Drosophila melanogaster: one gene and its partner. The protein of the gene in region 2 interacts with the protein of the main gene of each other region in a pairwise test. Each region holds a gene or a part of one and is shown on either strand. Other genes may lie near its edges.

Evidence for each region. Proteins that work in one complex are often made in the same cells at the same time.
Region 1: the proteins of ltl (region 2) and CG10081 interact in a two-hybrid assay, tested with the Drosophila melanogaster proteins (one large-scale study listed by BioGRID).

Annotation. Positions count from the first base shown.
Region 1 is NT_033778.4:19,384,139-19,389,980, forward strand, and holds CG10081 (uncharacterized protein), read left to right. Parts: upstream 1-1,784; 5' UTR 1,785-1,829; coding exon 1,830-1,850; intron 1,851-1,951; coding exon 1,952-2,646; intron 2,647-2,708; coding exon 2,709-2,793; intron 2,794-2,860; coding exon 2,861-2,981; intron 2,982-3,041; coding exon 3,042-3,196; intron 3,197-3,258; coding exon 3,259-3,642; intron 3,643-3,700; coding exon 3,701-3,996; intron 3,997-4,058; coding exon 4,059-4,128; intron 4,129-4,187; coding exon 4,188-4,334; intron 4,335-4,403; coding exon 4,404-4,895; intron 4,896-4,953; coding exon 4,954-5,115; 3' UTR 5,116-5,180; downstream 5,181-5,842. Other genes in the region: CG10073 (uncharacterized protein), read left to right, coding at 45-530, 593-754.
Region 2 is NT_037436.4:7,517,008-7,522,224, forward strand, and holds the start of ltl (larval translucida), read left to right. Parts: upstream 1-1,989; 5' UTR 1,990-2,677; coding exon 2,678-2,970; intron 2,971-5,217.

The DNA of each region.
Region 1 (5,842 bases), on a different chromosome or scaffold from region 2:
ACTACTTTTAAAGATCAAATAATGAAGTTATTTTCGTTTCACAGCATGTACGACGAATCTTCTACGAATACGATGGCACAGTTGTGAAGAATGACTCCGGCTATCTGTTCAACTTCCAGGATCGTCGGGGACCAGCACCCCTGAAACTGTCCAAGTTGAATACGACTGGATTGGTCAGCATTGCTGCGGACTGTGATACGGTTATGATGTGCGGATTTCCTCTATATGATCACCGATGGGTTAAGAATCGTCTGCAGATAATGTGGCTGCCAAGAGAAGAGGAAATCATTACGCCATATGAGCCGAAACTTGAGCTATTGTCCAAAACGGAACTGGGAAACAATACACTGCGCATGAATTTCCAATCAGCGACTACGGATCATGCCAGTGTGTTTATCCAGCCACTTGAAGATGTTATCATTTCCAACTGGAGCCTGCCCACGAGTTACATTGGCCAGCAGGATACCTCCCATATGTACTTCTCATATGGCAAGAACAACACGGCATTGACTTTCTTTATTGACTTTTATGTGAGTGTCAGATGAATGCACATGCGAAATACTTTGAAATAATCTTTGCTTATTATTCATAGAAACTGGATGCCGACTTTGCCGTACCCTTGTGTCAGATCGGATTGGCTGTCCATTTTATTGGCAACAAAGGCGATGCAATCAGTCAGGAGTTTGCCAAGAAGATACCATCATTTGCCGCTGCAGTGGATTGGCCAGCTTCCTACCAACGTTACATTTTCTAAGGACTTCGATCTCGATCGCGAAAATAATTATTTTAAACACAAGTCGAACAATAAAATGAACTGCTAAACATTGAATAATAACTTTAGTATCTTTAAATCTTATATACGGGTGGTCTACATGTGAAATTCAGATTTATTATTCATAAATTAAGCTTACGAGCAAGATCAATTTCTAGATCCCTAAAGCCGGCTTATATATATGTGTATGGAGTTCAGATATTCTCAAAGCCATCTTTTTATGTACCATATTTTCCATTTTCGACATTGTTGAACTTAATTGAAATTGAAATATTGCAAAAACTAGTTCTTATACACGTTTTCTTATCAGCCGTGAAACACAAAAAACGTTACATATTAATTTTAAGGATATTTTAAGACAGTGATATAATGCAAATTTTACAGCTTAAATATATAGCATAAAGAATATGTATTTTACTACCAAACGCGTGTTCCATATAAAAATTTATGAACCCATAAAATAAGTGTTGATAATTGATTGATACCAGCAATTAAGTGAATCGATTTCTTTTGGTAACAACTTAAGGTGCGTTGCCCTGGTCCTGAGTACAAACCATATCTAATCACCAAGATCTGTGTGAGAAATCGAAATTCGCTTAAGTTGCCAGATAGTCATATCTTTTAATGGTTATTATGCACATTAAAATCCGTAGACTATTCAAGAGCAATTTCAATTTTCAAAAAAGAGGTGGGTTTGAAAAATAAGTAAGACATGATGATTTGGCTTTGAATCAATAAAATGAAATACGAAGGAAATATTTTAAAAAGACAAGCCAAGTTAATCGACTAGCTAAAAATTGTAAAAATTCTTTGGAAAAGGAATAAATTAACCATACAATTTAACTCTATTATAGGTTTTATGGGTTTTATTACTTAAAAAGTATTGATTCTACTTTAGCGACTCTCGCAATGCTTATATTTTGTGTTTATTTGTGCTATAAAATTTCAAGATATGATTACGAAGTTTTGATAATTTTTTGGGATATAAAAGCGTTTAGCATAGAAATCAAGTCAGTCTAGTTTTGACTCCCATATTAAAGGTCTGCAAATCGACAAAATGGGTGACAAGGAAAAACTTGTAAGTATACAATTAGCTTCCGAATTATATATATTTCTATACTATTATCTCTAAATAATTAAGTAGCTAAGTAAGTAACTTTGGACTGATTTTTTGCTTAGATTTTAGACGATCATGTCGAAGAAGGAGTCAAATCATACTCCAGGAAACATGGAAGAAAACACAGAGTGTACTTTCAACTACCCTGGTACTTTGCTGGAGGCATTGTCCTGTTCTGGGCACTGCTCTTCATTGCCGTGGTTAAACCACTTTTTTACCGACTTCCCGAACCGCTGACTGTCGAGGATGCCTCCAAAGGAGGATTCATTGCCGAAAGGGCACAGGCCAATCTCTATGATTTCGAGGCTATCGGCACTAAAGTGGTTGGAAGTGATGAAAACGAGCACAAGACCGTACAGTTCCTGCTAAAGGAATTAAATCTGATAAAGGATAATATTCAAGAGGATCTATTTGATATGGAAATTGATTTGCAGTATGCCTACGGTGCGTATGTAAAATGGAATCTGGTCAACATGTACCAAGGCATTCAGAACGTGGTGGTTAAGCTCACGCCCAAGGGCACCACAAGTGAAAACTACATCCTGGTGAACAGCCACTTCGACTCTCAGCCAACTAGTCCCTCCACCGGGGACGATGGTCACATGGTGGTCTCCATATTGGAGGTGCTTCGAGTGATTTCATCGAGGAGAAAATCATTCGAGCATCCCATTATCTTTTTGATCAACGGATCCGAGGAAAATTCGCTGCAGGCATCTCACGGATTCATTGCCTACCACAAATGGGCTAAGAATTGCAAGTAAGTTCAAGGAGCAATAAGATATAATGTTTATAGAACTTATAAAAAATATTTCCTACAAGGGCGGTCATTAATCTGGATGCAGCTGGCAGTGGTGGTCGCGAACTAATGTTCCAATCTGGCCCAAATAATCCATGGTTGGTTAAGGTAATAAATCCTCTAGTTACTTAAGAAACTATCTATATATCTAGCTGTTTCATGTGATATCTTGCAGATATATAAGGATGGCGCCAAGCATTATTTCTCCACCACCATGGCTGAGGAAATCTTCCAAACGGGACTTGTTCCATCTTACACTGATTTCGATATTTTCGTTGAATACGGAAACCTTATTGGTAAGCTAAGCTAATTACTAATTTTTCGGTTGTATATAACTAGGTAAACTTAAATGCTAGGTCTGGACATTGGCCAGTGCATCAATGGATTCGTCTATCATACCAAGTATGATCGCATCGATGTGATTCCACGGGCAGCTCTGCAGAACACAGGAGACAATCTTCTCGGTTTGGTTCAAACTCTGTCCAATGCCAGCGAACTGCGCGATCTCAGCGTAGGTGCCAGTGTTTTATGTAAAATAACTCTTGGTTAATTATGTAATTCTTCTGAAAACAGGCGAATCCGACTGGCAACACCATCTTTTTCGATGTCCTGGGATTGTATCTGATCAGCTATTCCGCCGATGTCGGTGTAAAGCTAAATTATGCCGTGGCTGCCGCAGCAATAATCCTGATCTATATCTCCTTGCTTCGCATAGCGGAAAAATCAAGTGTCAGCTCCGAACAGATCCTGAGCACCTTCATCTTAGTTCTTGTGGTCCAGCTGATCGCCTTTGTCTTGGCATTGGCCCTGCCCCTTTTGGTGGCCTATGGCCTGGACAAATACGGCTTATCGCTTAGCTACTTCGCCACTCCATCGCTCCTGATTGGATTGTACATATGTCCCAGTCTTCTGGGCCTTACTCTGCCCAGCTATATCTATCTGAAGTTGGCGAATACCGTAAGTTCATGGTATGGTTCATGATACTTTGGGATAGTAATGTTGCATATCTAAATAGGAGAAGGTATCCTTTGCCCAACAAGTTCAACTGGCACTCCATGGACACGCCGCAGTGCTTTCCATCCTCTGCATTGCCATCAATTATTATGGATTGCGCACCACCTATGTCATTACATGGACGCTGGCATTCTACGTAATACCATTGGCCTTCAATCTTCTTACCACACTGCATGATCGTGGCTATTCCTGGACAGGTATATTGAAGATTGTCCAGGTTGCTCCGTTCATGTATAACAGCTACCTCTTCTACTGTTTCATTGTGATACTCACGCCAATGATGGGTCGTTTTGGAGTGTAAGTAAAAAGAAATGGTTCATAGATCAAATCTCTAGACACTTTTTTGTATGACATTTTAGGGACACCAATCCTGACTTGATCATTGGAGCTTTAACTGCCCTGGGAACCATATTGTCCATGGGATTTTTGGTAAGAATATTTACTGCTTAAGTTTTTTAAGTAAACATAAAGTATCAAACTATCCCTAGATTTTACTGGTCAATATGTCCCGCCGATCCGGATTCGTTCTCATCGGTCTATTGGCCGTAACTGCCGCCGGTGTATACATTGCCAGCTCCACCGACATTGGATTCCCCTACCGCCCCAAAACCAACGTACAGCGTGTGCCCTACCTGGTTAGTTATAAACCTTTATGTCTGCATAAAGATACTGATAACTATTACTTACAACATGATCGTTTTCAGCAAGTGCGCCGCATTTTCTACGAGTATGATGGAACAGTGAGCAAGGATGAGAGTGGATATCTGTTCAACTTACAGGATCGTCGCGGACTTACTCCGTTGCTGGAGTCCAATGTGGATCTCACTGGTCTGGTCAACATGACATCCGATTGTGCCAAGTACATGATGTGCGGCATGCCGCTGTACGATCACCGATGGGTGGAGGCTATGGAAACTACCATGTGGCTGCCGCGAAAGAATCCCGTTTGGACACCAGCTGAACCGATTCTAAAGCAACTTAACAAAACTGTTCTGGCGGATGGCCAGACTGTTCAATTCGAGTTTGAACTAACGACCTCGGATCACACCAGCATTTTCATTTCTCCCAACGAGGATGTGATCATCTCCAATTGGTCGTTCCTCAAGGAATACCTAACAACCAATTCACCTCCGTACCACATCTACTACTCCTTTGGTATCGATAATACTCCACTGCGCTTCCACATCGAGCTTAAGGTATGCGAGTATCACATTATCTATTAATTCTATATTTCATTTGTATTTATTTCAACAGAAAGCCGATGGCGTCTACACTGTCCCACTTTTCCAGATGGGAATCGGGGCGCACTACATGCACGTGAAAGGCGATGATGAGTCCATCAGGCTTGCCAATTCCCTGCCCGACTATGCTGTCAGTATTCAGTGGCCAGCTATGTATAAGAAGTACATATTTTAATTATATTCAATAATTAAATGAAACTCATGAAATCGTTTCTTGTATATATTAATAAAAATGTGTTGAAAAAACCCCTTTTCTCAACTCTGATTATATATTAGATACATACATAAATATTAATCAGCATTAATTTAAGTCTCACCTATGCTTTGTGCTCACACACATGAAGAAATTAAAGTGGGTGGTTCCCAATTTTTAAGTGCCATAAAAACATTTAGTTAGTTCATCAAGAATTATAGCACCTCATAAACGGCCTTTAACGCCACTCAGGCGGTTAGCCATATAATCAGTAACAGCAATTTGGTTGCGGTGGGTCTGAAATCATAAAGATTCCTTATCGGTTTCAAAAAAAAAAAGGCGTGAGAAACTGTCGCAGATATAGGTATCAATTAAATTTGTTAATGCACTATGATCCAACGTCGATGGTTTAATTAGTTTCAATTATTTCAATTTAAATTTAAAAGCATAAAAAAGCGTTAAAATAAATTAAATTAAAATAAATTTAAAATTTCTTGTTATAAATATTTAGGTAATATTTCATTTATGGAAAATTCAACGACAAATTTTAAAGAGTAATATTGCTTGTTGTTCAAGTGGAAAGCTAATGCTTCAGTAAATCCATCATCTTATTAAAAAAAAATTTATCTATCTAAGAATATTTAAACAGATTACAATAATCATTTACTGTAAGAGTTACTTATAAACTTTTATTTATTTTCAACCTAAA
Region 2 (5,217 bases):
ACGGCCGATGACGACCAATCCGGAATGTGCAGATCTATTCAAGTGGATAAGCCTTCAGCAGAAGCATTACCGGAGGCATATCCACACCATCCCATCGTACCAGCAACCCGCACCATCCCATTTCATCGTCATCGAAGTCCGAAGCCTACGCTACTCTTGTTATTGTTGTCGCCTGCAATCGAAACACGAAAATGTGTCACATAAAAATGTTGAGAATATTTATGTGCAAAAAAAATAAAATAAAAACAAAAAGAAATACCAAGAAGCCGTAAAGAAAAGAAAACATATGAATAAATAATAATTATAAATATTTGCCGCTTTTCTTTAAATATTTACTCGAGATGATTGGGCGCCAAAAATAGATTGGCTACGTAATCGAGGTATATTTTCGTACCTACAGTTATTGATTACAGTGCGGTTCAGCACTGTAACACCACAATTGGCATCTGCTAAGCTCGGCAGTTGCTGTGCTAAAGAGTTTAACATTTTAGTTTATTCCAAGCTGCCAGTTTAGATCATAATTTAAATAACTATCTGCAATTCTTAGAAAATTATTCTGCGTGCGTTCTAATAAATTTATGTTAGATATATTCATAAGAATCATGACAATTTGAAAACTATAAACAGTTTATTTAAAAAAACCTTCCAGAGATATGGACATTATTTGATAGGAAAAACTGTGGAATTCGGAAAATATGTTCATAAAAGAAGAGTTTATCCCATTTATTAACAGATCTAAAACAGGAAGTAGTTCAATTACGAGAGGAATATTATTAATTGAAACATTATTGGATTGATCGAATAAAAGCCGGTCATAAGATTTAATTTTTTAAATCCCTCTAAATGAGTGAGCCCGGCTGTATGTAATTAAGTTAATCTCTCCGACGGCCCTAAACATAACATAATCGTGCCAAGGTTCCTCGGGAGCTTGCAGTCTGCATGGAAAATGGAGATGGATGTGTTGGCTGGGCATCAGAAGTCACTCAGCCAGTGGCCGCCCCCCGATGATCCCGATGATTAATTGCAGCCAGAACTGCAGACGACGACCACGACGACGACGAGGAGGAGGAGACATCGTTGGCACGCGCAATCCGTGGAATTTGCGGAATTTGTGGCGAGCGCATTTAAGGCGCCCAGTGTTTAATTATGCATGCGGTCCCAGAACTTGGAGATAAATTAAGGCAGCGGACTTTGATGCATGGCTCCTGCTCCCGGCTCCCTGCTCTCTGTCGCCTGCTGCCTGCTGCCTGATCCCATCCCCGCCAGAGTTTTGGAATCGCTCTGGCGCCAGTGGAAAATTTTCACTTGGCCCAATCTCAATTGGGCTGCGCAGATCCTTAAACAAGCCGGTTCCATTCAAACACTGCCAACGATCCTATCAGATACGATACGTTCCGATATGATACGATCCAAAAAGTCATAATTAAAAACATAGCTTGAGAGCGAGCGAGGCGAGTGCCAGATGTGTGTCTATGTAAAAGGACAATTTGATGGGAGTGCGTAGAGCAAGAGCAGCACATATGTAAGTACCAACATGTGTCCACGATAATATAATGATGCCCCATACATAGAACTGGGTTCCGAAGAAGATCCCAGCGGCAACATGGGCAAGCAAGTAGCATGTAGCAAGTAGCAACAAACATCAGCACTCGATGGGGGCACAAACACATCGCACATCGCGATCGGGATTGAGTTGCAGATATAGATGGAGATTGATGCCTGGCGCCGACAGAACATGTAATTGAGTGTCGTGGACAATTATAGCCGCATCTCAAGTCCCCAATTGGCCAAAAAGCCGCTCGAGCATCTCGCCGGAGCGCCAAGAGATCGGAGAGAGAGTAAAACCAGCAGCAGCAGCAGCAATACATATCGCACCGCAGCAGCAACAGCGCTGCCGGCAGCAGCAACAGCAGTAGGCAGCAGCAGCAGCAGCAGCAGCAGCAGCTAGCAGCAGCACATACGAATCCTCAACGTTAGCATTTCCACTCCCAGTCGCAAAGAGACCGCCCTGCAATCTAGACGTGATCAGCAGCCCATCAATAAAAAAAAATACAATAGAGATATACTCGCGGTGTTCGACAAACAAACAGGCAAATACAAAATTTTTTAGAAGATTAATTCCGAGCATCGGCGATCTATATACAAGCGGGTCAGAAGGTCTAGCAGATAGGAGGAGGCGGAGGAGTAGCAGCTCCAGCTCTAGCTCCAGTTCTCCATATCCCAGCCGTTAAGATTCGATACGATCGATACGATCGATCGATCGACCGAACTTAACCTTAAGTGCGGTGCGCGTGTGTTATTTGAAAGATCTTTCAAAAGTAGTGACAGTGCGGCTTTGAAATCCGATGCCAGCGGTTCAGAGAATCAACGAAATCCTGCTGGAAAACCGAGCTGCCATGGAAACCCCCGCACGCACGCATATGTGCGCCTAGTGGGTAATTTCCCGAGTCTTTCGTGTTTTCCGAGCTGCCTGCTCGAACAGTTGATAATCCGCCGTCCGAGCGAATGCAACGTGTCCTGGTCTCGAGCCGGAAAACCGTGATTTGTGAACTGTGAACCGAACTGTGAACTGAGATATCGTAGATAGCGAAAAAGTGTACATATACAAATATATTATTGCTCTGGCCAAAGAATTGTGAAATCGCATTCACCGAGTGACTGAGATCACTCTACGAAAATGACTTCCCTCGTGTACACCGTCTTTCACCTGGCCTCGCTGCAATGTTCCGTGCGTCCGGAGATCTCGCCCTGCACCTGCGAAACGGGCAAAGCCTGGAATCATGTGGAGCTCTCCTGCGAGAAGTTGGAATCCTTCAACGCCGTCGTGGACAGCCTGGCCAATAAGCTCAATGCCGACACCAATATCGACCTAAAGATCACGCACTCGCAACTCGACGACCTGGAAATGCGCTCGTTTACGGATATGAACTTCAACTTGTACAAGCTACGGATGCAGTGGAACAGTCTAAAGTGAGTTGAGTCATCGATTCGGTTTGCAATTTTGGAGAGCAGGAGCCAAATAGCTCTATAAGGGGTTTCCCAGCTGTGGTGTAGATTCTATACAAATTCCTTTGCTGAATCACTAGATTTTTAGAAACTGACTAAAAAGTCGCTACTTTACATTTGCCAAGTATAGATAGATTCCATATATTGCTCACAAGAGGAACACTCCTTTTCATATAGCATACATTTATGTAAGTACAGTACAGATATATCGTTGGTAGCGTGTGCCAATTTGTGTAGATCGAGGTATAATGATGTATTGGGGAAATTTTCCTGCTATAGATTCAATCAAAATTTCTTTACTGTGGCGGGGAGTTCAAGGCCAACAGCCAAGTTCCGCAGAAAGGCAGAATTTTCCGCTCGGCCGGCTATCAATTTAGGTTCCTTAAACCCAATAAAAACCGAGAGAAAAATAATAATGCAAAATGTACACAAATTTCAATACGCTTATGTAAATGCACGAAAAAATGTGCTCCACAGATCGGTTCGGGTGGCCAGATCTTGTTTACAGCCATATACATACTACATAGATACTAAAACAATAACAATGTCGTTTGTTTACGTCAAAGAGCCCAGTGCCGCCTCATTATCTATGGCTCAATTGGGCAAATTGCGAAGGAGATGGATGGATGTGGTTGGAGATGGTGCAGTCGCATCTTAATTGCCGCCCAGATGATTTAATTTTTCAATTAGGAAGTAGCATTGAATTGCCGCTAATTCCCAACTATGGGATGTGCTGCCGTAGCTTGAGTCTCGTCGTCTTCTTCTTCTACTACATCTTCTTCTTGTTCAATTGATAACTGATAACGCTTATCACCTACGAAGTATTTATATAGGATTCCGCCTATGTACTTAGCCGTATGGCTGACTGGAGGTATACGACGTATACTTAATGCGTACACAAAATTGATAATTGCAGTTTGTTGAAGGCGTCTTTTCAACGGCGCCTGCACGTTTTCCGACTCTGACTCTCAATGAATTTCAATTCACTGTCGCATTGTGTTTTATATGTACACATATTGACAATTATAATTAATGCATATAAATAAATGCTGTCGATCCACTGATCTGCACTTGCGAATATAGAAATAACATTCGAGCCTATTTCATAAGCGCCTGTCGCGGGTTCATTGATATTTGACTCCGTTGTTTTACAGCCACGATTTTACATTCGCGATTCAAAACAAAATATGACTCAGGGGATTCTTTGTGCCCAAAGCCCCAAAAAAAATGTTTTCGAAAACTGAATTCAATCACAAGGACAAGCGTTTGTTTAATTTATCAATAGCTTCATTCAACTGTATCTTTGTGTTAGCCGAATTGAAATATCTCTTTGTTACAATCCATAGTACTAGACTCATTCATGTTTATATTCCAAAAAAAAAAAAAAAAACGCTTATCTTTATTGTTTTTGGGAATCTATTAAAAATTTAATAGCGACTGTGTGGGATGAAACTGGGTTTAGGCGTACATTCGGGAACACGTTTTAGTAATATAGCACAAATCATCGAAAGTATTTGGAGTAACAAAGTGCGAAAGCTCCACCAATCAACCGATGGCGACCTTTTAGTTCTGGGAAAATCCATTCCTTGAATCAGTTTTCTGAAATCATGGCAATTGCCCGGCGACTACCCCCACGATTAAACTATTCGATTTATCATTCTCCGAATGCAATTTGCGTGTTTGCATGGAAGTCGGCATGATTTAATTAGCCGACTTGATCGAATCAGTGTTATGCACCATCTCCCCAATCGGCGATCTCCCCCAGAATCCAGCTACCAAGCATCCAACATCCAGCATCGAGAATCCAGCGGAGAGCGCGTGCCTCTGGTGGCAATGCCTTCGATTCTGGCTGCTCGGGGAACGCTTTTTACATTGATGTCAATTTATAACAATTGACCTATTGCCTTAATATCGTGCTTTGACCAAATCATGCCAGCCAGCCAGGAAAAGTATCGCCAGCACACATGTGTGTATTCGTATGCACTGCGAGAAATTGGGCGGGCTTATCTTTCTGACAAGAAACATTTTTAATATTGGGTATACAAGTTATGCATTTTAAATACTTCAAGGGTAAAAATAATTATTATTATAATTATAAAGCCATTTCTATTAATCAGTTAAAATCATTTATTTCCTGTGTGGCGCCATCATGAAATCTCAATTTTTTTTAAATACTAATATGCATGAAATTCCCAAGAAATTTTAATTTCT